Astyanax mexicanus: one gene and its partner. The protein of the gene in region 2 binds, or shares a complex with, the protein of the main gene of each other region. Links are inferred from orthologs where the notes say so. Each region holds a gene or a part of one and is shown on either strand. Other genes may lie near its edges.

The links.
Region 1: the proteins of fbxl5 (region 2) and ireb2 are in contact, whole or in part, in a cryo-EM structure (PDB 6VCD), measured with the Homo sapiens proteins. The link is inferred for Astyanax mexicanus from reciprocal best matches to the Homo sapiens genes FBXL5 and IREB2. Residues at the interface, in NP_036293.1 of Homo sapiens: Asp656, Glu657, Tyr661, Cys662, Asp663, Asn664, Ile665, His669, Ala670, Asp671, Thr672, Ala673, Ser674, Gly675, Cys676, Gln677, Asn678, Leu679, Gln680, Cys687, Arg688, Ser689, Gly690, Glu691; in NP_004127.2 of Homo sapiens: Asp89, Phe90, Ser129, Asn217, Val220, Glu221, Arg224, Arg228, Ala758, Gly759, Ser760, Arg763, Asn764, Thr777, Pro778, Arg779, Asn782, Ser783, Tyr784, Gly785, Ala786, Arg788.

What each region holds. Positions count from the first base shown.
Region 1 is NC_064409.1:42,470,353-42,486,790, forward strand, and holds the start of ireb2 (iron-responsive element-binding protein 2), read right to left. Parts: upstream 6,890-16,438; 5' UTR 6,807-6,889; coding exon 6,782-6,806; intron 1-6,781. Other genes in the region: slc25a44a (solute carrier family 25 member 44a), read left to right, coding at 10,894-11,527, 13,355-13,482, 14,873-15,064. UniProt on the Homo sapiens protein: RNA-binding protein that binds to iron-responsive elements (IRES), which are stem-loop structures found in the 5'-UTR of ferritin, and delta aminolevulinic acid synthase mRNAs, and in the 3'-UTR of transferrin receptor mRNA.
Region 2 is NC_064420.1:11,516,188-11,533,584, reverse strand, and holds the start of fbxl5 (F-box/LRR-repeat protein 5), read right to left. Parts: upstream 6,866-17,397; 5' UTR 6,798-6,865; coding exon 6,714-6,797; intron 4,805-6,713; coding exon 4,589-4,804; intron 1-4,588. Other genes in the region: syap1 (synapse-associated protein 1), read right to left, coding at 12,791-12,918, 13,723-13,870, 13,965-14,023, 14,345-14,499, 15,502-15,641, 15,735-15,808, 15,928-15,994, 16,383-16,501.

The DNA of each region.
Region 1 (16,438 bases), on a different chromosome or scaffold from region 2:
ATAATCTCTCACAGAGATTATCGCTGTTATTATTAAAATGTTGTTAGGATATCCATTTCCGCAGTATTGAAATCTACTTAAACAAAAAACAATTGTAAAAGCACTTCTGTTTGTGTACAGTCAGCTTAGATTCCCAGTGTTTGCTAAGATGTGGTCTTAATTAAGGGAATCCCAATATCAAACATTTGAGCCTTTGCTACAAGATTTGTACCAAGTTTGCCTGGCATCTATGTGCCATTAATGTGGCATTTGGCCCCGCCTAAAATATACAAAATAATATTCATTGTTCTGTAAATTTTAGTTTTCACATTTTAAATACAATGTCTTAAAACATTCTGAATAATGTTTATGGAAAGAGAGACCAGTCCTTAAGTATTGCAAATGCTACTATTTCCTTACTGATGTACTAAAAAAAATAACCTTTCAACATACTAGTACATACATACTAGGGGTGTCACGATCTCGATATTTTATCGAAATCGAATCGAAATGAGGTCACGATCTCGAGTATCGAAGTCAAAAAGAGGATCGACGATCCCTCCCGCGCGCGCTACGCAAATGGCGCGGCACCAACACAGCGCATCCTATTCATTTAAATAGAGATAGCCACTGCATGAGCGCAGTCGGCGGGAGTGTGATCACTGTTTTTTATCTGTCCAACGGGGGAGGGGGGGCGGGGGGGTGCGCGCAGGTTTTGTATCTGTATCTAACGGAGGGGTGGGTGCGCGCAGGTGAGAGCGTGTGAACTCGCTGAAATGCGTGTGTCAGTGTGACTTGAGAACACTGACTATAGATCACAGTGAGGTGGATTAAAAATCTTAAACTTATAATTGACTACACCTGTTGCTTTCCATTGAATTAAAAAAACATCTTTCTCTCAGATAAAGTAAACACAAGCGTGTTTCTGACTAAAATAAAAGCTTTTCAGGAGAGATATAAGTTATGTGTAAATATTTATAAGACAATACCCACATCACTTATCTAACCAGCCTGTACTGATTTCTGCCCCCCAATAATGCTTTCAATAACCTCTTGTAACCCCTGGGAGCCAGGGGTTACACTCTAATAGCCTTTAATAGTCTTCAGTAGCCTTTAAAAGACTTACCTGGCGGCCGTGGTGTGTCCACTAAACTCCGTAGTTATAAACATCCTGAGGTTAGCAGCGCGCTAACTGACCTGTTTATAATGTAATCCCAGCAGTGCCTCCGTGTCGGCTGTTCTAACCTGCTGCTGTTAGCTGCTTGGGCTGAAAGATGAACTGTAGTGAGCTGTATTATCCGGTTAGTGGGGTTAAAACCTTTATTTGTTTACAGAAACGGTAAAAACGGACTGGCTGAGCTCTGTAGCCCGTGGCTGGGCTGTACTGAAGTAGTGACTGAGTTTAGAGAGCGGGGCTTGTGCTGCTGCAGCTCCGACTAGTGGTTGGATGAAGAACTGCAGCTTCATGTAATGAGCAGTTTCACCAGCCATCCACACACAGCTCTGATAAACTGCTTGTTTTAATAGTGCACACTGTTGCTACCAAAAAAAGTCACTAGATGGCATTACCATATATATCTTAATAAATAATAATAATAATATTTATAATATTTATAATAATAATAATAATAATAATAATAATAATAATAAATATATTATTTAAATTTTATGAGGCATAAAATAATAACAAGAAAAAAAAACAAGAAAATCGAGAATCGAATCGAATCGTGACCCTCAAATCGAAAATGAAATCGAATCGAGGATTTAGAGAATCGTGACACCCCTAATACATACTAATGTTTAAAAGATCAGTAATAATTCTCCCAAATCTCTTGAGCTGTGTAGGGGCCTGGAGTGAAATTTAGTGTAATTTCTACAAACACCAGTCACCATCATTAACAAAACAGAGGCAGTCATTACAGTGTTGACAGTAGTTTTCAAAACCAAAACAATCTGAGTGGTTCTCACGAACATCTATGTATTCAATTCAAGATTTTATTGTCACGTCACAGAGTACAGGTGTACATGTGAGTGAAAAACTTGGGTGCAGATTCCCACCAATGCGCAAAGAATAATATTTACAAGAGAGTAATAAAATAATATAAAATATATAAAAATAGGACATACAGATAACTTACAGTATAAACACTATTTACAATACACTTAATTACAATAAACATGATAACTTACACTATAGACAAATATTGCACAGAACAGATATGCACAGATGTAGATATGCGGATAGTGTGGAAGTAGTCAGTATGTGACAGTATAGCTATGAATGTATAGCTTAGCGTAAGTATCAAACAGAGAAAGTGTAAGGGCAGTGTTCTGGACCTCATTTAAACACAGACACAGAAAAATGAAAAAACATTTTTGTGTTTCAGATAGTGTTACACTTTTTCAAGCTATGAAGTTAACCCCATTGTCAAATGACCAAAAGAGGTGTGGCAGATATCAGACAGTGACAATTAGAGGCCGACCGATCGATCGGCCAGCCGATTTAATCGGCCGATTTTTGTTATTTTTTTATCAATCGGCATCGGCCGATTTTCTTATTTGGCCAAGCCGATTTTAATCCGGCACATCTGCGGGCAGCTACTTGGAACGCAGCGCAAGGTTTCAAGAGTGAGCAAGACTTTCAACGGGTAAGGCATCCATTTTTACAATCCAGTGTCCCAAAGTCTATATTTTCTCTCATGATTAGTAATCTGTGATGTTGCTTCATTTACTGAAAAAGAATAGAATTTCAACTGCATCGGTGTTGTAGCATTTCTCTCCAAACGAAACTATGCTTAGCGTTGATGGCAGGAGTGCATTTGGAATGCGCCCTGACTATGCAAGGCAAGCCCTATCTATAAGCTCTAGTATAAAATAACTGACGTCTCTTCTTCAGAAACGAAAATCTAAGTAAATAAAATCAAATTAACACTTGATATTTTCAGTATTTAAATTATTTTTAGACGAAATGAAAAAGGGCAGGACTAAAACTGTTTAAGGATATTCGCAGCATCAGCTGCGCTGAAATAATAATTACTGGTTAGTCAGGATTATTAGAGGACTGTACTTCTCCTTATATATAAATAAGCTTTATTGTAAACGAATTAATAAAACAAATAGTTTCTAAAATAATGGAGTTAAAATAAAACATCTCTTTTTCCTTCACTACAAACAGACATTAAATCATGCCGCCTCCTGCTGTTCTGCTGTAAAACTCACCCGTTTAAAGCGGTTTGCGCTGTTAGATATTAAATGAAACGATGAGCAGAATTTTCTGTTTTGTCGGGTTCTACTTTAGAACCCCCTCCAGACTTTTCTGATAAAAGCTCATTTTATCCTGAACCTATAAAGTCCGCGCTCTTCAGCTTTCTCAACTCATTTTCCGCTCACGCACCGAACCTCCAGTACAGCTGATGAGACGCGTTTCTCTGGCTAAGGAGCTCATTTGAAGAAGAAAAAAAAAAACAGATAAAGCTATATTTAAATTACAGCACCTGTCTGTTTTTGCATTATTTATAATTTTATTCTTAATTTAAACGTCACCCATTTTTGTAAAATAATAGCTGCAGCCCTAATGTGAACATTTTATAACATTGTCCTCCCATGTCCATTCGTTTTCAACTGCATGGAGTTGAAGAAGAAATGAGCTTTGCCGTTTTGGAGTAACTATCTAAAGTTGTCACATTATGGAAGTCTTCTTGCACTCTGTTAAACATATTAAAATGAATAATTAATAGACTAACAGACTGCAACAAGTCATACATTTGTTAATTAGTAGGCCCCTACAGTAAATTTTATATAATAGCCAACATAATATTTCTACTATAAACATGAATATATAGTGTATATAGAACATATGTTATATAATGAATAAAATAAAATGTTATGGATAATACAATCTAAATAAAAGTAATATTTTTTTTATTAACATATAGTGCATACCTGTCAAATTTTAGATTAAAAAATAAGGGATATTTTCCTCTGTCCGCTTAAAGTTGTCCCACCAGCCCAACGTAGGTTCAGTATCCCGTACATTTTAAGACAGGTTTACAAAAAAAATCTAAAATAACGACATGTGAACCACTTACACACAATTAGATGATCAGAATCTGAAATGTTGCAGACATTCCTACATATGTCATTCTTTTAATACAGCCAAATTAAAAACACTTTTCCAAATATTTTTTTAAAAGTTAAGATTTCATGTCTTTTTGGCATAAATGCACTCTTTTTTTATAATATATTTTTTATTTATTTAATGGATTCAAAATTGAACAAAGGGTGCACAAATTCTGCAAACTGAATCTTTTGATCACTCCACCCCTGATCAGTTTAGTTAATTTTTAACATTTCTAGTTCAAGCTGTATTTTTTTTTTTTAAGGTTTAATCTGTGTGTTTTATTTCAGAGACGAGTATTTTTAAGCAGCTATCAGAAAAATCTCATCACAGTTTACATGATTAGCCTACCGTTCCCTTTCTTTTAGAAAAATCGCTGTATATCCAGATATGTTTTAACATCAGCTGCTCCGACTAGCTGCCTGTGGCTTCCCCACACTGACCCTCCTTTGCAAGCTGATTGGCTGTTTCTCCTGAAAGGCGGGACTTTCTCCTTGAACCGGCTGCACGATTGGTTAAGAGACACAGAGCAGTCAGCTCCCTGTCTCCTCAATAATATATATATTTTTTATTTTAATATAATACGGGAAATTTACGGGAAAATACTAATACGGGAGGACAGCGGGAAAGAGGAGTAAAATACGGTAGTTTCCCGGCCAAAACGGGAGACTTGACAGGTATGATATAGTGATATAGTAACATTAAAGTCACTATAAAATGCTAACCTTATTTTCAATAAATTGTGTGAAGTTTACAACTGTTGTGCCTCCTCTTACTAGTATGATTTTAAGCATGCCAAATAAGTATAATACGATAGCATATCGTCACTAAAAATCGGCAGGTCACATCGGCCATCGGCTGACTCTGACCACTAATGATCGGTATCGGCATCGGCCTTAGAAAAACCCATATCGGTCGGTCTCTAGTGACAATGTGACTGTAACTGTAAAACCTAAACTTAAATAACGTGCAGTCAACATACCACCGTATGCCAATTTATTTACATTAATGTAACTCTTGAACCAAACAAACTCAGTAAATTTAGAGACATTACACTCCGTGACACACTCTAAGAGGTCTTCTGATCTTTGCAGACAATAATTCAGTAAAGGAAACCGGCAACAGTAGCTACAGGCCAGCAGTGGGTTGGGTGGACAGGGAGGGAACACTCTCCTTATCTCTGGAGCCAAATGCTCTTCCTTACTAGATTAGAAGACCCCTACTGAGGCATAATGAAACACACTTCAACTATTTAAAGATTAAAGCCCCCTGTAACTTTTAAGCCACATCATCATCCAAATCTACAGACTACTAAGTATTTCCTATCATGCCTGCACTTATTAGTCTACATAATCGACAATGTTAATTACAACAAATTGTCGACTTATTGGTCATTTGTAATTGCAATGCACTACAGTGCTGTGGACAGAAATGCAGTGGGAGAGCAGCAATGAATTCACTCACAGGTTACACAGATGTGATTAATCACATATTTCTACTGTGCTTAATTTGTTATATTTTTTAATCGACACCACTAGTCATAAATCGCTTTATTATTTGTAATGGGATCTAGTTATCTAGTTTTATGTTAAGGCAGAAACAGGACAACAGTCTGCCATTCACAGGTTGAGCAGACGAGGTAACTTAGTTAAAACATGTAACTATTGGAACAGAAGCTGCGCCCACTGGAAACTATAGACTCTAATCGATTATACGGGGGGAAAACGTCCCATTATCCGACGACTAAAATAGCTATTGGTTGCAGCTCCAGCGACTGTATATGTACACAGGAGCTTTACGGACAGTGGCAGACAATACTTGAGAACAAACCTCTAGCTGGGTTAGCTAGCTAGCGTAGCTAACCTAACACCTTAACGTACTTCTGAAGACGTTTGACATTTGGCTGACATTTGTAACTAGTTAGCTAACGTTTCATGTTCTTAAGAAACCTAACTTTAGTTAATTACCCTAACGCTAGTTAGCTAACGCTGCGGACCACACATTACGGCTAAAGTTAGTAGTTAAGGGAACGACGCCCGCTGTCCTGCGTCGCTGCTCTTTAATGTCAGCAGAGCCGAACCGGTGTTCTGTCGAATTCTCCTACCTTGTCGAACCGTGCTGCCCCAATGTATATTTAACTGTAAAAATACAAAAGAAGCACTATTTTAGGGCATGTACCCAGTGATATTCCAGTAGATGTACGTTATTAGATTTGGATTGCATAATTCATTGTACCATGGCAAAGTTATAGTAAATATAGCTCATTACAAACTGCTTTTGTATTTATTTATGATAATAAGTGTAATTTTTTGTTTCCCTTTACACGTTTGTGCAATGACAGTTCGTCCAGGTTGTTTAATACACATAAACCCCCCTAAACCAGATTAATTATACATAAAAAACGAGAAATAATTAAATAGTGTAGGTCGGCGCATGCGCAGTAACTTTGGGAAGCATGTATCGATGGGTAGGAAAATTCGACAGAACACCGGCAGCTTTAGCTTTAACAGCCCGTTATGTCAATGCTAGCTAGTTAGCCTGTCGGCTAATGAGAGGGGGATTTTAAATAGCTCCTCTCCTAACCGACACCGCCGCTGTGTGAAGAGCTACTCACACTCCTCGCTGACAGGCTATAAACCCCGGGGTAAAGAGTTATTATCGCAGGCTGGAGGAGAGGGCTCTTACCTTGCTGTGAGGAAGTGAGCGCCATGATGACTTCTGAGATTAACACGACTCTGCTCGAGAGGAGTGTGGTAACGCCTCCCCCACATCCAGCCAATTAGCGACAGGAGTGAGGTCAAAGCCACGCCCACCTGCCCAATGCAGTGGCGTAACAACAGCGCCGGATGTGGCGCTGATAGAAACCTCTAGATAGAAACTCTAGAGAGGAGAACTCCAACTTTATTATAATGTATTCCTGTAGCCCGGGCTTTGTCATACCACCAGGGGCGCTCCCGAGTCCAAAATGAATGGGTTTAAATGGAGTGAGCAAAATAAGAGTTTGTAAATGTTTAATAATTTTTATACAGGATAATGTACACATTCTCTCAATACAGAGCAAAGTCAAACGTTTTAGTACCGCATACATTATTTTAAAGCTCTTAACCTTCAGATAAAAGCCTTTTAAAACTGCTCTGACCGTAACTCCAGCATTAGCTTACCGACCAGTCAACTCACAGTAGCACCAAATGCTAGCGTCTTTACTGCTTAAAATCATTTTGCTGTAGACAAATGGGCACATACAGGCTGGTTTCATTTGCTTTCCAACTAAAACGTAATTCTACATTCTAAAACTAAAGGAAAACTTTTGACAAGTAGTTAGACAGTATGATTATTTTGAGTTTTTAGCCCTTAAGCTCCATTTACCCATTCACTAAGGACTCTCCCACGGGCTCCCTCTGGCGGTTTTTAGTCATTTTTGATCTAACGGGGGAAATAGGAAATGGGTAGGCTCTCCATAACCCGGCTCTGTAGAAACCTCCACAGAACAGCGTGACTTTATCATGGAGCCGGACAGTCCAGTTTAAAGGCCGTGAGAGACATTAATTCACCCCTCTGTCTAACATGCTGAGGTTCGCTGCCGTGTTTAAAATCGCGGACGTGTGTTAGTTATCAGGGCTCGAGTGGGAGGAGGAGATCATGTCGAGCTGACCTGGTGAGTGAGTTCAGATTGACATGATGTTGAGAGGTCAAAGAGGAGCTGTCTGCATGTAGCAAGCTGACCACAACGCTAACTACAGAGGATAGGAAGCGAGTAAAGGGGAAGATGAGCCGCAGTCAGCTCGAATAAACGCGCTTTGTTAAGACTGATTAAGGTCAGATGTTGTTCGGTTAGTGCTGCAGCTCCATGAGTCGGTTGTAGCTGGTGGGCCTGAGAAATCCTGGAGGGTGGAGGTCTGGTAGTAGCAGAAATGGTGTGTAGAACATCCACAGTGAAGAGTACGCTGTTGGGGAACACAAATAAGTATAAGGTTTATCAGTTCAGTTTAACCTAAAATGCTTTACGTGTTTTATTAAAAAATGCGTAAAATAAAAACTAAATAAAGAAAATCTTAAGTTGGCTTGAAAATACTGCTGTTGGAGTAAATGGTGCTAAAAATTTCGGCTATTGGAGCTGTGTTCAAAAACACTTGGATAAATGGTGGAATGCTTATAATTTTGTCTCTAGATTAGTATCCAAAAACCTAATATGTCACAGAAAATGGGTTGAGTGTTTCTAAGAATTTTGTGGTTCTAGCTAAAACTAAAACGTAATTTTTTGACAAACTTTTTTTGCGGACACTTTGAATGGAATCCTATGGGATAATATTCAAGCATAAAAGCGTTGGCTGTACGAAAAATGCACAACATATTGCTCCAAAAAAAAGCACAAGCAACTTAATCCTGTTCTTCGATTCTGCAAGATTTCTCGTTTTACGTTGAAAGCTGTGGGAGTTGATGGTGAATAAATTTTTTTACAAATAAAGGAATAAGAATAAGATCACGAAGAACAGTAAATTGGATTTTCCAAGCCAACTTAATATTACAAAACAGTAAGCTATATGAACAAAAACAGTACATTTTGGGCCTAAACATAAAAAAGAATGTAAAACCTTTTTTACAATTTCGATAGAAAATTACTAATTTGACAGAGCAACAAAATGTTTTTTTGTTTTGTTTTGGTGTTTTTGGCCATTTTTTGCTACATAACTTTGGTTTGTTAAATATTTGATGCATCCCTAAAAAGAAGTATAATACCAGTCAGATGTTTGAACAAACCTTACCATTTAATGTTTTTCTTTGTTTCTTTATTTTATTTTTACATTGTCAATTAAGACATGAAAACAATTAAGGGGCACATATGGAATTACGTAGTAAACAAAAAAAGGTTTGTCCTCCACAATGCCCTGACCTAAATCCTAAAATTGAGATGATTGATTTAGGATGAGCTGGTGCACAGTGTGGAGGAAAAGCAGCAACTATTGTTCAGCACCTCCAGAAAAAAACAAACACATTTAACACTAAATATTTTTAATTATCACAAGAGTTCACACATAGTCTGAATGTGCCTTTTGAAAATATTTCAGTTTAAACCTTATTATGTAAAATATGTTACCTTAACCATTATTAAGTTCTTTAAGTCTGTGTTTTTTAAGCTTTGAGTTGTATAAGGTTGTGAAGGTATCAGGTGGGTAAAGGTATTTGCCCTTTTGAACAATTCACAAAACGCATCTCGCGCTAATAATTTCAGTGTGGTGGGCTTGCCTCACCTTTGCACTGATCATGTGAAGACCTTTGGTCTCTTGACACTGCTGGGTGTGCTATAATAACATACTAGCTAAACAAAACTCCAAGCCTTCAACATCTGTTTGATTCAACCCTTCTTTCTTATCCTGTTCACAAGTCCCAGCCTAATTTCTAATGTGTTGTGTAAATGGAATTTCAGGACACTGGATACGCCTTAAAAATCAGTGTTTTTAAAATTATTAAAAAAAGTTATGTGTTGTAGATTAATAATAATTTCATTTACACTATGAAGAAAAATATGTAATTATCTAGTAAAAAGGTGTTAAAAAAATCAGAATGTTATATATTTTAGATTCTTCATAGTAGGCATGCCTTGCTTAGATGACAAAATCTTGGGATTTGCTTTATGAGGTACAGTCACCTGCAAGGCCTTTTTGATTTAACAGTTGTGCTGAACTTGTTAAGAGTTAATTACTTGAATTTCTTGCCTCTTGATGTGTTTGAGAGCATAAGTTTGTGTTGTGAAGAGATAGAGTTGGTATACAGTAAATAGTAGGGGAGTGACGAGACACTAATACCACGAGACGAGACGAGACACGATATTGGGTTCACGATAACGAGACGAGACGAGATTTAAAAATAAAATTTTAAAGAAAACTTTTTTTTTTTTCTTTGGACAAAATCATATACCGCAAACTTAACAGACTGGTTTCTCTCACACATTGATTCTATAAGGAATAGAAATAACACAATTAAATCCTTCTCAGTAGTTTATCGGTTTGGGTCCGCATTGGACAACGTTTGGGTCCGGACCGCGGTCCGCCCATTTTCCTCTTCTGCTGAGAGCTGCTCTCACACTCGCTGCTACTGGGTTCAGTCAATCAGATCCCTCTTAAAAAGTCCACATTAAACTTTTTTTTTCTCTCGCGAGACAGGTTTAAGCTTGACGAGAAATATCGTCAAATTTAATCTCGCGAGATCTCGTGGCATGATATCTCGTCACACCCCTAGTAAATAGCCATATTTGAGTAAAGTTCTAATATATATTATGGCAAAAAATACTCAACTAAGTACAGAAAAATACTCTAAGAAATAAGGGTCAGTCAATCTGAAAGACTTAACAGTTTTAAAAGTGTCCTCATGTGCAGTCGCAAGGACCAAAATGCTTTGAAGAAACTGGCTGTCATTGAGACTTCACAGAGAAAAGAAGACCAAGAGTTATCTCTGTTGCACAGAATAAGTTCATCAGATTTACCAGCTTCAGAAACCACAAGTTAACAGCACCCCAGATAAAAGTAAATTGGTTTGTTTAACAGTTTAGGTTACTACATGATTTCTCATGTATTCCTTTATAGCCTGGATGACTTCAGTGTTCATTTAGAATGTAGGGAAAAAAAGAAAAAAATGATTCAGAAAATGTGTCCCAACTTTTGACTGGTACTCTATACTTGAGCTTTACAGTTAGTTTTTTCTGTTGACCTTATCCTCTTTATTGTCTATATGTCTGCAGATTAATGGACAGGTGTGGTGGTGCAAGGCCTGTCAGGTGAAGAATAATATCAGCTGGAATAATGCAGCAGAAACGGAATATCCGGATTATAGAATGGGAGGACCTGGACAAAAGGAAGTTTTACTCCCTTGGTGTATTCATGACCTTGACAACTCGTGCTACTGTTTACCCCTTCACCCTAATCCGAACTCGACTTCAGATTCAGAAGGGAAAGTCGCTCTACAACGGCACTTTTGATGCCTTTTGTAAGATCCTGAAAGCAGAAGGGATGCAGGGACTGTATCGGGGCTTTATGGTCAACACCTTCACACTGATCTCAGGGCAAGCCTACATCACCACATATGAGCTGGTGAGAAAGTACGTGTCTCAGTATTCCTCCAGCAACACTCTTAAGTCACTGGTTGCTGGGGGCTCAGCTTCACTGGTGGCCCAAAGCATCACTGTTCCCATTGACGTTGTCTCCCAGCAGCTCATGATGCAAGGCCAGGGAGAACATCTCACACGCTTTAAGCTCAAGTCCAAGATGGTGGTGGCCACATCTAAACATAAAGTGACTTTCGGACAGACCAAGGACATTATGGTGCAGATATTTGCAGCAGATGGTTTTCAGGGGTTTTATCGTGGATATGTGGCCTCACTCCTCACCTACATCCCCAACAGTGCCTTGTGGTGGCCTTTTTATCACTTTTATGCAGGTAAATTATATGCTGGTGAATGTCCTTCCTAATGCACAGTCTTGTCACTGAACAATGTTCTCTTAAGTATGTAACTTTTTCTTCAGAGCAGGATGTTCACAGAGAATGGCCAGACCATATACTAGATATCTCAAGCTTGTTTTAAGTGTAGTTATAAGATGGATCGATGGATTGATAGATACTTTATTGATCCCGAATAGATAGATATCTTGAAGCTCCAGGATCAAGTACATTCAACTGCGTTAAAGTTCTCACATTCATTGAAACATATTGTTTTTTAACCCAACATTTTTTGTTTATGAAAACACATACTTTTGGTTTAAACCATGGTTAAAGGCACCTTTTACACCTGTCTTGTTTGGTCAAGACCTTTTAGAGTTTGGTCTTAGCCACAAGAGCAGGTATGAGAGGTGCCTTTAACCACAGTTCAAACCAAAGGCACAACATCGGTCTGAACAAAATCGGAGTCTTACTTCCACGGTCCAGTTTATTTGCAGACTTTTGCACCCAAAACAAGAAGTTAAAGCAGGCTGTCATTTTTTTAATGGCATAAAAATAAATGTTGTGCCAAAATCTGACTGCCCTTTGCATATAAGCATGATAGATTGTACTTTTGTTTACCGCGTCTTCTGTAACTGAACATTAACCCTTATTTATAAACAGAAATAAAGGAATTCAATAGTTATCCTCTACAATCATGATGCTGCATAAGACATCATGATATCATAATAACACTTAAAAATGCATTTTGTCAAATTGAAAACACAAAAATATCTGTCGCATATCTGTGTACAAAGTATAGAAAAGTGCATTCCACACGGTGATGAAAGTTTTTAGACCAAATGTATAGAATGTTTAAAAAAAACCAAAAAAAAAACAGTAACCCTATTTTGGACTCTTGACACAAAAGTTCTGTTTGCTTACATATGAATTAGTTTTGCTCACTGTTTAGAAGCAATTTTTACCTGTTGTACTTCATTTCAAATCAGCTCCAGGTGGTACAGGTTGGTTTGAAAATGCTTGTGCATGACAGTTTTTAATAGTGCCACTTACATCGAGTTAATGTCAGATCTGGACTTTAACTATGTAGACTTTGTAGAAGGTTTTCTGTTTGGTGCTGCTGAAACAACAAGTATCTCCCAATATTTTGTTTTCAACTGACAAAAGCAGAGTGTCTTATAGTATCTTCCTGTTTTTTGCACAATTCATTAGTCCTGCAGTATTGACAAGATGTCAAGAACCCCACAACATGATGCTGCCTGTTATTCCCATATTTCAGTGTTGGGATTGTGGTAGAAGGACTTCAGAGTAAATGAGGAGCTGAAAATTCTCAAAGTGTACTGTAGCCTTGAAATACTATTTCTAGGCCTACCATATCTAGACACATGTTGGGTGTGTTCATTTATTTTCAGTGTAAATACGCTTGTCATGGCAGCATACTGAGAACAAGGAGACAAAAAATAAGATTTGTAAAGCCATCTTACTGTGTTTGGCCTGTTTTTATTTCATTGTCAAATTGATGTTTAGGTTCCGAACGGCTTATGTGTTAAGTTTAAACCAGTTATCATAACCAGTTATTAAATGGCCCAATGCCCAGGGTGTAGGTTACTGTGTTTCTGTTATTGTATTAAAAAAGACTTCTGTGCACTTCTTAACTCCTATTACTTATATACATTGTTGCTGTAATTTTGGAGCATTTCTGTTGGTCCAATAATTATGACATTTGGGACCAGTGTAAACAACTGCCAGATAAATTATTTATTATATCATATAGTGTTGTGTTTGTATAATGTCTGATGAATTATGTCCTGTCTGTCTCTAAAACAGAGCAGCTATCCAGGCTGGCTCCCTCTAACTGCCCTCATCTGCTTCTGCAGGCTGTGGCTGGGCCCATGGCTGCAGCCACTGCCTCCACCATTACAAACCCTATGGATGTAGTGAGAGCCAGAGTACAGGTATCACAACGTCATTGTCATTCTACTCACAAACGTAAAGTACATTTAGAACACATTTTTGTTTATATGACTGTAACACACTGGCCCACTGGTATAACAATTAAGTTAATGCATAGTCCCATTAATGGTATCTGTTTATTTGCACGGCATTTCCGGAATGTCTAAGATGCATTCTAAAGCTGCACAGCTGCAGTTTATAAGAGCTTTTTTGAGAAGGCTTTTTGAAAGCATTACAGTCGTGCACTCAGTACACTCAAGCAGTATTCTGTCCGATTACGTAAAATCAAAATACTGAATAATATAAATACTGATACATACTACTAAATATAATACGGTAAGTGTGGATCCACCAACGTAACTAAAAATAAATTATTCCAGTAAAGGTAGAAGTAAACACAGATCAGTAAGCATGCAACATCTTTCACTGCAATATGAGCATGTGCAGTAGTCACATTGCAGGACTTGCAATATCATATAAGTCTAATTTTAATAAATGTTACAACTTTTTTGCTGCTTGATGCGAGAGGCAAATACACACTGTTGATCTTCCAAAACATATTTATATCAAAGACAGATTTAAATCTCATTATCTTGAGATAAAACTGACCGAGCGTAGAGGAAGGTGAAACTGCAGATTTGAACACAGTTTAGGGTAGGGGTACTCATTCCTGGTTCTGAAGATCTACCCTCTGGAGATTTTTGATCTATAACCCGTTGTCTAGAATGTTCTCATGTCCCTAACAGAGAATGTTTTTCTTTATTTTCACTGGGAGAATCCTTAGAAAATGTCTTATGAACAGGGGCATCGGGTGAATTTCAAAGTACCCCTAGTTTGAGGCTAAAAACAAGTATTTAAATGTATTCCCCATCTAAGGACAGTTCCACATTCTAGTATGTGATCCAGTTGATGCTTTTGATTCCATATTTAGTAGAAAGTAAAAGAAAATGGTTTCCTATTCTTATTCCTATTCCTATTCAAAAGATTGTCCTTAAGGCAACAGCTAAAATTCTTAAAGCAGTACAGCAAAGCGGTTCTAGATAATTTAATACACTAGTCAAAGTGAGCTATTTATAATCAGTTTTTGTTTTTTTAAACATCTTATTTATAAGATAGTCACATCATCTTATTTATTAGGAATTTTATACCTACATGTAGATCTTAGCTCTATAAATATTTTTTTGTAAAATATAAAGCTTGCTTCTAACAATTTTAAAGTGCACAAGACTAAAATATATTGTGTAGGCCAGAGAAGGCATAAATTAAAGTTGTAGGAGTTTAAATACTACTCTCTGGTGTCTTCTGCTTGTGTCAGTGGTTTATCCAAACGAGTGTATTAAGAAGGAAACCTAAAGAATTTTCCATAGTTCTAAATTTATCATTTCCTCCAAGGTTGAAGGCCGCTCATCTGTGATTGAGACGTTTAAGCAGCTCTTGGCAGAGGAGGGAATGTGGGGGCTGACGAAGGGTCTGTCTGCACGCATCATCTCCTCGACTCCAACCTCCATCCTTATCGTCATTGGCTACGAGACACTGAAAAGGCTCAGTCTGAGGCCTGAGCTGGTTCACACCAGACACTGGTGATATGCAGAGCCCAGGAGTGGATTCTGAAACACAGTCCAGGACAACTTTACCTCAGAGCTGAGCTTTATGGACTGGACCTCTCTTTTTAGGCCTCTTTGCCTTTTAAACAGTTGCCTTTTGGGATATTTTAACGTGTGGTCAGGCTGCATGGATTTTAAAACAGGGATTTTGGAAAGAGGACCAGGAGAAATTTGTGCAGTGCTAATATTTTTTTCTGGATTATGTAGAGATATGTATTTTATAATTTTTTTAGCTTGGATGTTATGGCCTGATTGTGTGTGTGTGTGTGTGTGTGTAATGGTGCTTCATAGTGGACCCATCCAAAACCAGCATTTCCAGCTACACTACACTAAATTTAACAGTCAGTTTTTAAATCTGGTAAGAATTAAAACTGTATTCATGCACACTAGTCAGGCCACAAAATCTATATGGCTCCACTTTTGCATTTACACATGCTGTTTAAATGTCACAGGGTCTCTGCTTGTCAGATAACATCTTTCCTTTCCATAGAAGCATCTAAGCTGGCCTGGGCACAGTAAATGCATTTATATGCCCATACGTAATCAGATTACTGCAGTTCTCATTATTCATGTAGTCATGTAAGCACCATTTTTAAGGTCCAAAAGGAATGTAAGAAATGTAATTTCTTATTTGTTTATACTATTCAGCAAAGTATTCTCAGATTTCTCACTTTGCTTGTGCATAAAAAAGACAGAAACATTTTCGGAGTTGCACTGATCAAAGTATTTAAATAAACTTAATTTTCTTGCTGATGTATGTTCATATTGCAAGATAATGTTTTAAAGAAAAAGGCATAGTATGAAATGAAGGATGTTCAGATTGAACCTTATTGGATTATGGTTGCAACTTTATTAGTTTAGTGGCTAGTTGCAAAACAAAAAAAATCATTTTTGCCTGACTCATGTAAGTTTGAGTTTTCTTATCTGATTTGCAATGTTCATGCAAAGCACTGATCGAATTACTCACCATCTGTAATGTTCGTGCAGTAATCAAATTATGAAGTGTATATAAACACACTAATTGATATTATCAAGGCCCCTGAAAAGTGCTAAGCAATTCTTTTTCTATGGAATGGACCTAAGCACAGAAGATGCTAAGGCTGGTGAAACTCATCCTCAAAAGACCACCAGCAAATACTTTTCCACCTCAGCAAGCTGTAGAGTTGATCAGCAACATGTTTTAAACAGTATTCACAGCACGAGTACCCATCTGGGATTAATACTTTTGTTTTTCATCCTTGTGCCATAATTTCATTTATTTGAATATTATTATTAATATTATGTGAACTCCACTTGTGTACAATTTTATTTACGTGTCTTATCTTTAAAACAGTTGAGGCCATAAGTTTGCATA
Region 2 (17,397 bases):
AGTAGCGGATTCGGCGGCACCTCGCGCTCCGCGGTGTTAGTTGTAAGCGCTCGCGCTAACCGCAAAATACGACAGAAAACACTGAGGGAGCTGCAGAATTATGTGTGGGACTAGAATATGAGCACGAGGAGATCAAAGAGAACCTTTACCTGTGAGTAGCTCACATCAGAACACGCAAATCTCTCGCTCTCTCACTCTCTCACTCTTTCTCTGTGTCTCTCTCGCACGTGAACGCCTCCGCGTTTGACTTGCAGCACTGTGTTTAGCTGTTCTTAAAAATCATTTTAATTAAATAATAGTTCTATGCTTCTATGTTACAGTGTTATTTAACATAATTCTGATCGTATTTCGCTCATTCATTTAGCAGACAAGCACCCTGATCTCTACAAAGAGCTGAGAAGTCGACAGGTTAGTGGAGTTAGTCAAGATACACTCTGTCTGTAGCTTTACTAAGATTTACTAGCGACTGCTAGTAAATCACGTTAACACGGAGAGGAGTGTGCAGGAGTTTTGTTTTGGACCCGTGGTTTTCTCTATTTCTCCATTATCCCATTGGCTGTGAAACATGAACTCAAGATGTTCACGTTTTTGCGTTTCCATCGCAAATCTATGGTCAGGCACGTAGCCTGCTTGATCGTTACACTGAACATGGGCTTATTAAAAACGGTAAACGGTTGATTAATAAAATGGAGCAGTCAGTGTTAAAATGAACATAACATTGTAATGTTCTTCTGTCTCTTTATTTTCCTTATTCAGAACTTAACTTCTGCCCGCCCGTCAGGTTCACATAGTCAGGCTACCATTACCTCTGGTTTTAGTTTTAGTTTTTAGGAAGTGTTTAGATAATTATGTTATAGTTAAGGTTATAATAACGAAACTTGTTTTTTTGTACAAATGTTTCATTTTAGAATAAAAACGTTTGCACCGATTGTTCAGTGTTCAATCCAGTTCAGTCAAAAATAAACATTTTATGTTCAGATATTTTTATTGTTTTTTTTTCTTCCAAGTATCGTTTTGGTATCGAGAATCGTGATACTACAGTTGGTATCGGTATCGAAGTAAAAATTTTGGTATCGTGACAACCCTATACTGTACAGATATAATCTGTATCTAGTAGATATTTAATGAGAAATAAGAAGAGTGTGAATAAAAAAAAAAACAGACGCCTATCACAGACTTCTTGAGCCTTGAGCCCGAACGGCCCGAGGAAAGGGGTGAGAAATATATTTTTTTCAGGGCCGGGGGTCAGTGGAAAATTTTGCTGTGGATTAATTCGTCTTTTTCTCGCGGTTAACCGCAATATCGCGGTGATGCGTTAGTTTTTTACCGCGGTTATAAAAAATCAATACCGCCCCAGCCCTAGTGATACGAGCCTCTCACACACAAAACAGCTGCCTTTCAACCACAGAGGATAAGCTGAAAACGGATTTATAGAACTATAGAACACAGTGAGGTTGATTTAAAAATCTTAAACTTTTGATTGACTACACCTGTTGAATTAAAAAGCATCACGGATACGCCCACACGAATACGCCGACATGGCGAGCCAAGTGATCAGGTGTTCTGTCGAATTGTGCTACCCTCTCAAACCGTGCTACTCTTATGTGTATACTTCGAGGTAAAAATACAAAGGAAGCACAATATTAGAGTATGTTTCCGGTAAGAAGTTCATGTACTGTAATTGGAAAGCCTAAATCACTGTTTCAGATATTTTATTATTATTATTAGTATTATTATTAGGGGGGGCTTTACTCTGTATAAAGAACTCAAAGAAAGCCAACATATTTCCATGGACTTGTATGCATTTGAATATGTACAGTGTCCTTATGAAGTCAAAAGCATAACCAAATACTTCTGATAATAGTGCTTTGAATTTATCTTGTCAGTGTTTATTTGATGCTCTGCAAGAGCTAAGCATATAAATAGCTGTATGTGTTGTTTTGGTGAAAGGAATCAGATTTGTGGAATTTCAACAAAGCAGTTAATAATTTTCAGTTTGTTTTTAGAGTTTTGAGAAACTGAGCTGAGTTTCTAGAATATTTATTAGTTACTATTATTATTATTAGGGGGGCCTTGATGCTTTCAAGTTGTAAACAGGTGGGTTGTAAGGTAGAAAAGGTTGAGAACCCCTGGGTTAGGGGTCAATGAGCTTACCAAACAATTTAATGTAAAAATTTATGCACCTGCCTAATTTAGTTTATTGAATTGTTGCACACTTTTTGTAAATCCTATAAACTTTATTTCACTGCTCTGTGTTCGTCTGACATATGATCTATTTAACTGAAATTGCTGATCCAAACAACCAATGATTTATAAATAAATATTCTGAAAATTACCACTGTATATTACAGTCCACAGGTTATATTTAAATGCAGGTAAAGCATTTCACATAGAGAGAAAACACTGTAAAGAAAAAAACCCTGAAATGAATGTGTTAAACATAACATCACATAATTTTCTTGTCAGACAGGCCAACCATGAATGCATGCTTTTGCAAACAACTTTATACACAGTACAATATTTTGCTTTACTAAATATAATAAGATAATTGAACACTACAGCAAAATACAAGAGGAGAACTGTTTTTAAACAAAATGCCACATATTTATATCAGCTGCCGGCTGCCCATCACAGACACTGTCACAACACCCTGAGTCATCCCAGCACAGCAAAGCGCCAGCCTCCACCCAGCGCAGTGTGGGCAGCAGCTACAACAACAGCCTGGATAAAGAGTGGGAGTGCAAAACCTGATCTGGGAATAGAATACTTTGAAGTTGCCTGTACTGAAGCAGCAGAACTGAGATCAGTTCTAAATGCCATCACTGGCTGAAAACACTATGCAGTGCAACAGACTGTAAGCTAACATGGCTGCCGTTATGGGATCTGCAAACAGAAAGGCACAGTTCCATGCTTTGCACACTGGTCCCTACTCCCAAATATTTACGCCACAAGATCGTTTTGATAAGCCGGATGTGTCCGTCTAGCACTAATCTTAGCAGAGCGAAGAGTGTAAATAAACTGACTGAGAAACAGACGTGATTTATTTACATCAGTTTACTTGATTCCATCCTGTTAATGGCGGGAGAACAGAATGTCCTAATTTCCTTTGGCTTAGCAGAGTGGAAAATTACTTGATTGGCAAACATGGGTAGTGAAAGACAAGCTGGACACATTTAACTGTTTCTGTGTTCTGGAGTGTGCGCATGTAGAACAGCATCTATAACCTGCAGCAGCGTCAGAGTTTCATTACCAGATTTGCTGAAACAGCATTGCAGCCAGGAATGCATGATAATCTTCACATATGATAATATTTTTTTTTTTTAAATAAAAGCAGGATTGGTCATTAAAGACTGTTCTGCTTTTGTCTTGGTGGAGATGACCAGCGAATCCATGTGTGGAACACCATGATCAGTGGTTTGTTGTCAAGCATCACACATCCAGATACCAGACTTGGTATTTTAGTAGATGGTGCAATTTTTTATAATGCCCTATTACCTTAATTAAAGCCCATTAATGAGGGCCTGCAACCAGTGGCCCTATTTTGTATAAACGCACACTCTGGTGCTGGTGCACTATTCCAACAAGACAATGCTCATTTTACACCATGGCCAGTTGCGTTGCCAGACCTATCCCTGAATGAAAATGCATGAAATGCTATTTGAGGCGCTACCATTACTTTACGCCTACAGCAAAATCCACAGAAACAAGCCATCTGCATGGCATTTATTATCACAGGACAATCTCAAAAAACAATTATATGCAGAGATGCTTGAAATGTGAAATTACACAAACATTACACACTATTTTCTATGGGTACCTAAATAGATTTATGGATTAATTCGAAATTTTTAATCGTTTATGGTTCTAGGTAACCTTTACCTTTCTTCTGAAAAGCATTGCAATCTAAAAATCTAGCAACTATTCAGACTTTTGTCTATAGTTTCAATAAGGCTGATTCTTGACTGTGCCTGATGCGAACAGCGCCTCAGCAATATAACAACTTCTTATTAAAACACTGGCATAAATATCCTTAAACACCAGTTAAAAAACCCATTATTATAGTGGTGACATATCTGCAATGGGCGAGGACAGATACTATTAACAGACGACACTCAACAGTGTCACCGTCTTCCCACACACAGAGATTCAGTGAGGGAAAAACTAACCAAAATGTTTCCACACAAACAACACATAAGTTGTTTCTAGAAATGAAACAACTGAGATGGAAACCTGTGTAGCAACTGCAATATTAAGATATCATCCTGTGGAAGGCAGTTTTGTATATACTGATATTAATTATATATTGATAAGCCCAACGATTTCCACAGAAAATCATTGCCGAACTGAGCAGCCACAAATAAGCCTAAAGTCAAATATCAAATAAACAACTCCAGTAGAGCGGTAAAACAAATTAACGTTAAAGTTAATTAAAGTCTAAAGCCTTTCTTCAGCAAGGAGGTCAAAACTCAATAATAATAATGATAATAACAATTATATCTCTGCTTTGAAGAAAAAGGTGGACAAGATGATATCTACAAACACTTACATGTAAAGCATGTTATGTCTGTGCACAGATATTGACACGCACCTTGACATTGCGAAGGCCTTTTTCAAAAAGCAACAGCATCTCGGACAGCTTGTTGTCAGAGTGCACGTTGTAGATGGTACGGCTGCGCTGCTGCAGCAGATCGATTATGTATTCATTCTCAATCTGCTCATGGATCTTGAACACCTTGAAGGTGGCGCAGAGCGTCTGCAGGAAGGCGCGGAAGTCATTGTTGTTGGAAAAGTTTGTCTTTGACAGCTGTATGTAGTGAAATGAGAGAAAGAAGGAAAAAGGTGTCAATATCTAATATGCATATGTTGGGTATTAGGTGATACGGCAAATAACTTTGAAATACATTTTTATAATTAAAGATAAGCTATATAATATAAATAATCAATTTATAAATAAAGCTAAATAATACTTGCTATGATGCTGGTCTTCACTTCTGCCAATCCTCTTTCCATGTGAGTGTTTAAAAAGTAGCTATACTCCACAGACTTGTCCTCAACACCTTTAATAATCAATAAATGTCTACACATAAATGTCTAGCCAGCTGAGACTAAGCAGCAGTCAGGGAAGATTGGGAGCAGTTTAGGCTGCTTATGTAAGCATGTGCAGCCTGCATCTTTTTGTTGCTGTAATGATCACTTTTAACTAGTTAAACTCTGTTTAACGACTCCCCAAAAAACAAAACAAGTAGTAGGCCTGACAAGATAATACAATTACTGACTAACCAAACAATCAATACAATCCCTAAACAAACTATATTTCCCATAATGTTTACTTACTTAAAAAGACAAATTAAACTATAAGCTATTTATCCATGAGACAGCATGTTTCTTTTAATAAGGAAAACTAAAAATACTCCTAATGAATTATGAACTATAATTAACATTACACAGTTGCAAGAAAAGTATGTGAAACCTTTGTGAGTACTTGAATTTCCACCATAGACCATAGTTTGGATGAGGTTTTGATGGTGTGCTGTGCCTTTTTTCTCCACACATAGCGTTGTGTGTTCTTTCCAAACAACTTAATTTTGGTTTTATCTATCCACAGTATATTTAACCAGTCAGTTAGTTCTCTAAAACATCCAGGTGCTCTTTTGTAAACTTCAATGGTGCAGCAATGATTTTTTGAACAGCAGTTTTATAACAAACAAATTTTAACCAATTTGACACTATAAACACACAGCAAAGCACCATTTATATTAAATGTATGATAACATAAACTGGGAAAACAGTCAATAATCTCAAACTGCGTGCACCTAACGTAAGTTAGATAATAATGTGGGTTAAGCAGTAAACTAAAGATTATGGTAAGTTAGTTAGCTAACACCAGGGATCCTCTCACCACAGCAGCACGTAATGCACGTACTAACCTACGTTAGCTGGCAGCTAAACTACAGCTACCTACTGGGGCTAATTGTAGCTAGTAAGTTAGTCAGGGAGTCAGACATGTTTAATGACTGCGCAGTTAATGAATATTAGTCTAATACTTTTGTAAAGTTTAGAACAGCCTTATAAGATTATGATGTAAGCACAGGAACCGAGCAAAGGAAACATGGCTAGTTAGGTTAGCTATCTTAAGCTTTACGTCTACAGTTAACGTTGGCTAGCTAATGGTGTAGCTGGGTTAGCATGTTAGGCTAGTGTAGCTTAGTCCACTTTTTCAGAATATTTGAAAGAGCTTGTTTCTTATTTTAGAGAGATTTTGGAGAGCAACGTGTTCATAAAACTGTGTAGTAACGTGCTATTGTCCGTTAATTAAAAATACATTTGGGTTTACCTTAGCTACGTTAGCTAGCTAACCTTAGCTATTTCCAAGGCTTTCATTCTTTTGCACCAACACACCCCTGGTTCAGCTTTAGCTAGCTAGGCTACGTCAAGCTAATTCCGTCTCTATCACAGTGTTGAAGACGACACTAGTGTTATTTTCTGTTTCTAACTAATGTCTTTACATGTTAAGTGATAATAATGGTGAACTAGCGATTTACAGCCACAATAAACACGCTGAGCTCTAGTGTTTGGTTAGCTAAGCTAGGCTAGATAAACAGAGAGCCTGTAACTAAGCACCGTAACGACCGTTAACGTTATTAAACCCATTAAACAATATGAATTGTTAATGAAAACCAGTAAAGCAGGTAGCGGTCGGATTCCCAGTATACCTTGTCGCAGTAAAGGCCGACCAGCTGCTTCATTCGCCAGTGTGGCCCAGTGAACACGTCCACCTCGTCCGGGAAAGGCGCCATCGCGCTCCATGGACTCAGTACACAGCTCCACTACAGCAGTACAGTTCCATCAGACCTGACCCCTCACACCGCACCAGCACACACACGCAGGGCTGTGCGATACTGCAAAAATTTCCATCGATCCAATACCAAGGAAATAAAGGGCCAGTACTGCCGATACTGATATGAATACTTTTTACTCTTACCATCTTTTTTGTGTAGGGGAGAGCAATTTATTAAGTGAATGCATCATCAATATGCAAATTTGAATGATTTTTTTTTATTATTATTTAATTATTTTGTTTTATTTTATAAATAATTATGTTTTTGATGGTAATAAAACACAGTTTATAGAAAACTTAAAATGCCCCTTTTGGGGTGGTAATCTGCATTTGCAATTAACAAACAGATTTTTCCCAATGTTCTCTTGACAGTTAACATAAAATATGTATTCAGCCATATTCATATTTCAGTTTTGAGGCATAACTATATCTTTTTGTAGGTAGCATATCTATTTTTCAGTTCCAGTGAAATAATTTATTTAGTTTTAGAAAAGGGGAGAGGCTAATTGAGCATGAGTGAAGTGAGAGAGAAGTCGTGTTTTACAGTCAGTCGGTCACTCTGTAGATGCCTGGAGTTGTACTGAAGATAAACCGAAACTTAAGAAGCAAACTAGAGATTATAGTTAATTAGCTAACGCCATAGATTCTCTCACTACTGCACGTACTAACCTACATTATCTCACGGCTAAACTAGAGCTCCCTACTGGGGCTAAGTGTACCTAGTAGTCGGGTAGTCAGACATGTTTAATGACTGTGCAGTTAATGAATAATTTTGTAAAGTTTAAAACAGCCTTATAATATTATAATGTAAGCATGGGGATGGAGGAAGGGAATAATAATGGCTAGTTAGGTTTACGTCTATAGTTAATGTTTGCTTGCTAAGGCATAAAATGGGCTAGTTCAGTATGAGTGAAATGAGAGAAGAGCAGTGTTTTATGGCCAGTCGGTTAATCTGTACATGCCTGGAGTTGTACAGAAGATGAACTGAAACCTAATCGATCTCATCACACAAGTATTAATAAATACCAACATTAGTATCAATACTATCAATATTTTAAATTGATCTGCCCCTAACACACACTACACAGCCTTCAGCACAAAACTGTGCCTTCTGGGGTCTCATAACTATATTACATACTTGTAAAGTGTAAAATAGTCAGTGTACAGCTTGTATAACAGTGTAAATTTGCTGTTCCCTCAAAATAACTCAACACATTGCCATTATTGTCTAAACTGCTGGCAACAAAAGTGAGTACACCCCTATGTAAAAAAATGGCCAAATTGTGCCCAAGGACATCAGAAGGCACAGTATTACAGTATTCTAAATATATAGTACACCCCTATTTTTGTAAATATTTTATTATATCTTTTCATAGGACACAACTAAAAAAAAATAAATAAATCAGTGAACAGCTTCATGTGTGAATTTGCTGTGCCTCCAAAATAACTGAACACATGGCCATTTATGTCTAAACTGTGCTGATAACAGAAAGTATAGATAGCCCTTTAGTGAAAAAGGCCAAATTATGCCACTCGTTAGTGTTAAATTTGGTATTTTGTGTACAATTCTCTGTTATTTGCCACTTGGTATTCAACATGGCACTTCATGGCAAGAAATTGTGGCAAGAACTGAAATGTTTCTCTCTACAAAGCTGGTCTGATCTATCAGAAGATTGCTAACACCCTAAAACAGCATGATGGCCAAGGTCATACAGCAGCTTTCCAGGATGGGTTCCATTCAGAACAGGCCTTCTCAGAGTCATTCAAAGAACTTGAGTTCACGTGTTCATGTGTAATATACAAGGGCATAGGAGCGGGTTTGAAATTGGGGGGACACATTTGCCAATATGAACCCAAGCCCACCCTGTAGTTTCCTAGAACAACATTTGTGGAAATTACTTTTAATTAAAAGTAAATTATTATTAAAATGTGACTTTACAACCTAAACATGTTATTTGGTTATTATTATTATTATTATTATTATTATTATTTATTGGCATGTCAATTCTGTCATATCTTTACGTTTTCTCCTGCGCTTTATTATTTTCTACTGAGAGCTCTTCTTAAGATGGTGTCCTTTTATGTAAAAGAATGTAACTTTGCGTTTCATAGACATGTGGTCACTTTGAGCTACAAATTAACAGAAGTCAGGTTAGATCAGTGTTTCTCAACCCTGTTCTTACATGTTATACTGCATATTAACACTGTTCTCCATATTCTAGAGCTCCCTCTGCTTTAAAGGCATTTAATAGGGTAAGTGGTGGTATGATGTGTTTAATACACTGCTGGATATACATGATTAATTTAGGCTCCATAGGGGGCTAAGAGATTTTAACAGGTAAACTCGGTAAATGACTGTTTATTAGCCGATCAGCTGGATCAGGTGGAAAACACAATTTTGGGGCAGTGATCAGGGTTAAGAAACTGCTTTAAACTAAAACATAAAGTACTGTACTAAATTCTGGCTATCCACTACATCTGGCTTCTAGCAAACTAGTTAACTAAATGAATTTTCGTTCATTATAGCTCACAGTAAGTCCTGTAATCCTAAATTAATAAACACAGTTTGACAAAATGAAATAGCGATTAGCTGATCAGGTACAGGGCAAGTTGAACATTACATATATAGTTTTTTTCTTTAACCTTGACTCCCAATATAACTAATTCCAAAGTTAAGCTAACTCACTAACACAGCTGCAGTTTATTAATCACAGTGGGATTAAACTTTTTGCTGATTCAGAGACGTGTATTTTTAACCAGCTATCAGAAACATATCATCACTGTTGACGTGGTTAGCCTATCGTTACCTTTTTTTTTTTTTTTTTTTTAAATCTCCGTATATCCAGATCTGTTTTTAAATCAGCTGCTGCTGCAGCCCGATCCCGCTGCTAAATCTCACAGCGAGGGGGCGGGGCTTCCACCACCAGCACACTGCCTCTCCTCCCCGCGTCGCAAAACCAGCAAGCTGATTGGCTGTTTTTACTGAGAGGCGGGAATTAATACATGAACTGGCTCCGTGATTGGTCCGGTCTGTCTCCTCATTAGTACAGCTGATCTGAGCGAAACGATATCATTTTTGGGGGGGGCAACCACCTGTTTCTAATATGTCCCCCCCATCCCCCCCCACCCCCCCGGTTCCTAGCCAATGGTAATATACATAGTCTGGCTTTAAAAAAATAGAGTGCTGTCAGCATTGCTGCAGAGCTTGAAGAAATGGGAGGTCAGCCTGCAGTGCTCAGACCATACAGCAAAAGTCCTAAAAGGGATCCTCTTCTGAAGATGATGCACAGGAAAACACGCAGTCAAAGAACATGGATTACTGAAACCATGTCCTGCCTCAACAACTTGTTTGGCTCAGATGGTGTCCAGAATGTGTTGTGGCATCCTGGTCAGGACTACCAAGAAAACTATCCCTTATCTACTGTCAAATATGGTGGTGATAACATCATTGTCTGGGGCCATGTGAGTGCTGGCAGCACTGGGGAGAATTTCCTGTGACATTCTGAAGCAGAGCAGAAGCTGGAAACTCCAAATATGATAAAGGCCCCAAACCAAAATACCAATTGCTTTGCTGAGGAAGCTCAACATAAAAGTGATTGGCCAAGTATGTCTCTTGAACTTAACCCAACTGAGCATCTGTGGGGCATCCTCAAAAAGAAGGTGGAAGAGCTTTGCGCTCTTTAACAGTCTTTAACATTTACCAGCACTATTTACCATGGAGGAGTGGAAGAGGATTCAAGTAGCAACCTGTGAATCTCTAATAAACTCCAACTGAAAAATAATGGTGCCACACAAAATATTGACACTTTGGGCACAATTTGGCCTTTTCTACTTAGTGGTGTACTCACTTTTTAGACATTTATGACAGTGTGTTATTTTGAGGGAACAGCAAATTTAGTGTTATACGGGCTGTCAAAAGTATCAGTGTCATATCTTCAGTTTCCTACTGAACATTAAAACATTTAACAATGAATATTAAAATCTAAAATAAAAGTCAATGTTAGATAATCACAGTGAAACTATATTTACAGTAATAGGGTCAATCATGTAAAAAATGACTATTAATCACAACTTTACTGTCATTATTTCTGATTAAAATAATGGCCTTTAATAAAAATAAGGTTGACCTACAGTTGCACACATTGCACTGTTCATAGTGATCTTGTTCTGTTTGAGATAAATATTATTTTAATTACCCTGATATTTTAGGCCAACAGGGTGGACAGCTTAAGCTTTACATTAAATAAGTGTAGAGGTGTTACTTCACTGAACTAGGCCAAGTTATCCCAAGATGACAGGGTAGACAGGGAATATTTAGACATACAGTAGCTATGAAAATAGCTAAACGAATAACTGAAATGCTTAAACTGTTTTAAAAATCTTAGAAAAATTAAATTGGCAAAATAATGTAAACCTTTAGGACTAGCAGGTTATTGGTTCATTCATCATACTATTCTAAATCAATGTAAAGAGCAACTGCCAGAATCAACAATACTAAGACAATATTGAGATTTTTCTTTCTGTGGCAATGACAACATGCTTTTATATTCAAAAAATATTATTGCTCATTAGGAAAATCTCTTTAATAAGATATACTTAACAGGAAAAAACATAGAACAGTCCCAGTAAAATCTAGAGCAATCTGCCATCAATTGTACAGTGTTGGTCATTTTTAGAAAGTTTAGGCCTTGAGTATATTGTACATGAATTGAATGTGCTTCATAGAAAATACAAAGGGACAGTCTCCACAGACACACAGTTTAAAGACACAACTTTTAATGACAGACACAAAAGTGTGATTATGCAGCAGATAAAGAGAAATCAACACAGAAAAAAACAACAAAATGATAAATTATTATTACTATACTTTTGTATATAAATTCTTTTCTGTATTGGACAAAGAGGCCACAATAAACCTTTAATGGTCTAGAGCTAACCTATGCTCAAACTCCAAATTGAAGTTTATCCTTAAGGACTGTGTGACAGGACTGCTGATTTGCTCTTTTAAAATTGGGTAAGGTTGACGTTACTTTTAAATTTGTCAAACTATGGGGTGTCCAATTTTATGTGCAATGGGCCAGTGTAGATGGTTTTCATTCAAGCCAAATGTGCAGTTATCCAAGTGTGCTGTTTTTTTTAAGCGCATTATATTTTATATCTTACACCAATAAAAATCTGCACCTAATCTGCCTAAATACCCCTTATTTGACAAAAAAGTCCTTCTATGTAAAACACTTCAGGAGTTACCAGGGTGGTATGCACACAAATACCTAGCCTAAACTTCACCAGTCACCAAAAGCATGACTTATGTCTTCCCTGAAACTGAATCTCAAAAGGAGAAAAGGGAAAAAGTTCAAAACTTGCAAAAAGTCGAATTGATTTCAACTTTTTTTGCAACATTTCTATTGGTCCATTTATTATGAAATATTCACACAATGGAAAGGGCAGCAAATGGTGTAAATAAATCAAAAACAAATAAAAATGGACTAAATGCTTTCTATGCATTCTCAGAGAGGTCATATGGGACCTAATTGGCTGTGTTTAAACTCAAGGCTTTCTGATCTCTTTATTCTGACACTAAAATCAGTTGCAGATAAGTTTAAAACACATGGACAGATCCTTCCCCACTATAAAAAGACAAAACTAACCATTTTTCATCAGCAAAGCTTACAGTAGACGCTATGCCTTTTGACAAGAAGCCAAAAAAAGTGATCCAACTACCCTTAAACCTGGGGGGAGATTCCTAAAAGACCTTTCCTCTTAATTCATTTTAACATATTATATAAAGACACTTTATAAAGAAATCATATAGCATGATACTAAGCCTGTCTTAACATAGTGGCTTCTAAAACCCACTCTTGGCTGATTCTTTTCTGGTCCATTATCTTCTCGCTCTTCTCCTCCAATGCAGAGTTGTGTCCACACCAGAACACGATCTAAGAGATCTAGAGTTTAGCTATCAGCCTGCAACATCTCTTCAATCTCACGGTCCCAGTTGTCATCACGGTTTTCCGTGTCTGCCACAACCTCGTACTCCTGCAATTCCCTCTGCAGCTCCCTCTCCCACTCTGATGCATCTTCTGATTAAGAAAAAAAAAACAAAAACGAGAACAAGTAAGTGACTTTTATCTAACGCTGCCTGTACATTTTCCTGTAAAATATTTGGATACACTTCTAAATGTATTGTTCCCGCAATCATCACAAGGTGTCCAGGGCCTGTGCAGCAAAGTAGCCCCAAACCAGAACACTCTCTTCACCATGCTTCACAGTTAAGAGAAGGTTTTGATGGTGTTGTGGAGTTTTCCACTCAAACATAGCAATGAGCATTTGTGGTAAAAAGGTGAACTTTTATCTGATCTGTTCATCAGGGGTGAGCAGTATGATTAATTAATAAGATTAATTTCAAGAATATACAACAGCAACAAAATAAATGTAATAGTTATAAATATTGAGCAGATATATGGTAAATGTAAACACATGTTTTGCAAACAATAAACAACCAGAACTCTGATCATTTTAAATAAAATAATAATAATATAACAAAATATAACATGAATACAATGTAGCAAAAAAAATCTACCACAATACCTAAGCACAGAACATTTAGTGCATGCGTATAAACTGCAACAATTATTCCAAAAATAGCCGTATGACTAAAATTACAATATTGTTGTTTTTTTTCAAATCACCATATTACTGTATCACAATATACTGAGTATAATATGAGGTGGTACACCCCTATTGTCCATACACTAACCACCAACAAATCTGTGGAAGATTTGTTAGTGGTTAGCTTTGTGTGGCTTTAGTTCATGGGCAAGGCACCTACATATGCACCTACATCTACAAATGCACCTACATCTACAAATTAGCAAAAAACTCACCATCCTGAGGGGACACATCCTCTTTCTTGTCCAGAACCAGCTGCTCCATCTCCTTCCGCAGGTCTTCTTGATTGATATTACATGAATCAAATGCGTCACTCACAAACTCAGAAACGCCAGGGCTGGTAGAGATCTCCTCCTCCTCGTGCTGCAGGAGAATTCATATAAGAAACATTCACTGTCGTTGTTTTTATTTATTTACTGACCAATTGACAATGTGAACAGTTGGGGTTCTTTTGTACCTCATTGGACTTGGGTTTCGCATTGATGGTTGTAGGTGGTGTTTTTGGTCTGATGGTTTCTGTTAAAGAAGAAAAATGCTGAAACTTTACAATAAAATGAAAGCAAAAGACCACATGCATTTCTGGACAAGCAGGGAGATGCAGAACTGTTACTGAAAGCAAAAAAGGATGTGGACTGAGGCAGTAAAGTAATATTACACTAATATGACTCAGGTTACCGAGCATTACGCAGTTCTGTTGAACATGCCTGCATCTAAAGTCCAGTTAGCAGCGTGTTGAGCTTACAGTAGCATTAGTAATGACAACAAATCTCTCTATTACAAGTCAGGATTAAGAACCACTAATCACTGTAGTGCACTCTAGTGAGATGATGGTGAAACCTGGTATGCTCTCGGTCTGTGGAGAAGCTCCGTTCTTCTCTTCCTCTCTTCTTTCAGCAGCCTGCTGCTGTGCTGCCAGCGCTGTGAGCTGAGCAGACTGCTTTATGAGAGACACACGGTAGAAATAGTTCCTCCAGAACACTTCCTCCTTCACCCTAAAGCACACAGACACAGAAACACTTGAGAAATACAAATCTGTGCACATTTAAACAGATGCAGTTTAACATAAATACATTAAAATGCAACAAGAAGTATCATTCTAAAGAAAGTAGTTGAGATATTGTGAGCGAGTCTGGAGAACAAAGCCTGATTCCAGATTTCTCTTGGAACATCTCCCCAGCCAGTGCTCCAGTGGATGTGCTCAATTCTGCCTGATTTGTCATCATTAAGCTCTGATTTGCAAAACCAGAGGGATGGTAAATATAATAATACTAGACTCCATGAGCAGAGCTTTAAGGATGTTTCAGGGATCACAGAGATATAAAACCAAAACTTTTGTATAAACATTTTGTTTTTATGTTAATATTAAGAGTTTTATAACACTACTCAGAAAGCTTATTCATTCACATGGATGTCTAAGATATTACTAGCACATTTCTGTATGTATATATGCTTGATGACACAATATTGTGCCCTAATCACCCATACAACCGTACTTACGCAAAAAAAGCTTCTTAAAACCCACATACTTAGTTTTTTTTAAGATTCTGTGTTCACAATGTATTTGACATTTGTTCACTCTATGAAAATTAATCTTAAAAGCATAGCTTTAAATAAACAGTTCTGTTAAAATACTGTAAATCACACATTTTTACCAAATATTTACCAATTCTTTTGTAAAGCCTATATATTATTATAATAAATAAAATGTTTTACATGTAATATTTACATACTTTACTACTGTTTTAATATATTAATCAGTATAAAATTAACCAGTACTTAATTATATAACATTAAGTGAACAACTACATTGATTTTCATTTTCAACACATTTTAACTTTAGATTCTCCACAAGGGGGTGCAAATAACACTCAAAGTATTGACGTCTTCATAACAGTGGTGCATCACATCAGATATAAACAAAGTTTCCCTTCTTCAGCTGTTTCTCAGAACAGAAGGTGCAGAACAGATGAAAGTGCCTGCTGTCCTTTACTCACTGTTTGGGCACCAAGTCAAAACGCATCCTGTTAAGCAGCTCGTCTTCCTGCAGCATGACCAGGGCAATGGGATACATTTGATCAACATCAAACTGGAACTGCACGCCGGCTGGAGGGTCACGAAGGAAGTTTCTTTTGTCCTGGAAAAAAGCAAGTATTAAAAAATTATTTCATACTGAATATTTTTAAGATGAATGCTGTTGTTTTTTTCAAACAGGAACAATAAATCTTACAGCTGATAGAGCAAGTATCTGTTGCTGGATAGTCTCCTCCTCACTGTATCCCACCCAGGGAGGCACAGCTGTGTCTACAGGAAAAAAAAAAGTATTACATCCAAAAATATTCAGCACAGTGATATTGGACAATAGATGTCTATTCCAAATGCAATCTAATTTTATATTTCACATTGTGTCTGATTATACTCACCTGATTTTTTAGCATTCTTCTCTTGCACAAACTTTTCCTGCTCTTTCTGAAAATCTCCTAGAATGGTCTGAGGAAAGACAGATAAAACTGGGCATGTAAGTTAAAATAATAAAGCACTTCATATCCATTTAACATTGAAATCATTATTAAAATAAGTGATAGAAAAGTTACTATTTTAACTAGTCTCCTTTGAAGGGATGATATGTGGTATCACTGAAAAAGCGTAATATGACATTATTAAAATTATTCCAATACATTGTTAAGCAAAACAGCATCTTCTCGAGCACACGTGTGATTATATGTGACTGCATATATATGTGACTACTTATAAAAACGTATTAACCAGTAATACAGACTCAGCTTTTTAACTGAAACACTCAGAGCTTTGCTAAATTCACATTAATATATTGTTGTTTATGTATAGAAATTAGAGAAGGAATATGTGTGAGAATTACCTTGTCAATAATGCCATCTATTTTGCCCTCCTCTACACTTTTCTTTATACTGTTTGCCGTCTCTGCAACAGACTCAGATATCTTCTTGGTTGCACTGCTGGCAAAGTTGAAAATGTATCCTTGAAACAGAAAGGGAAAAATATTGCATATTGCACAAAACCTCTAGAACTATTATTTTCTTTAGATATTAAATAGCATTGTTAATAAACGTTTAAGCACTTAATGGATCAATAAACTAACTTTCTGTCTGTCGTGGTACACAGCTCCAAAGTTATCACAGTAAAACGTAAGACATTCCCTTGATATAATACTTTGTTTCCTTAGTTTAACAATACGTATTCTTAATGTAATAAATCATTCCTTCAGTTTAAGGTATCACTTGTTTGTTAAACTAAAAAAATCCTCAATTAAAAAAAATATTAGCAAAAAATTAAAACATTTAGCACCCTCAATTTCACTTTACTTCAGTCACTCCCTCAGCTTAGAGGGGACACATTAGTGAACTGAGGAAACAATTTCTAAATATTATTCCACCTTGATAACTAGTTCAGAGGCATTTTACCAACCTGTAATTTTAATAAGCAGTGCTATTAAATGATGAATAAATTCAAATAAACATCTAAGTACCCACTGATAATAAAAATAATAAATGATAGGTAGCAATGTGTTTGGGTTTAGTAAAATAAGATAAAAAGTACCTGTTTTGAATAGCCCACCTCTGCTCTCCCACAGCTTTCTGAGATACAGTAATGTTGTGCTTTTTACACAGCACTCGGTACAACGGCTGATCGGGGCCCATTTTTGCCCCAATAAATTGCTTTTCACCGTTATTGAGGCTCAAAGTAGCTCCACACCTTATCGGTAGAATCTGTAGAGCCCTGGCATTTAAATCGAGGCATTAATAACTTTAAGAGTGCACAAGAAGCTTATTAAAACCACTGTTGTACGGTGCTGGCCAAAAAGCAAAAATACTGGCTCTCAGAAAGCTGTGGAAGAGTGAAGGCGTGCTATTCAA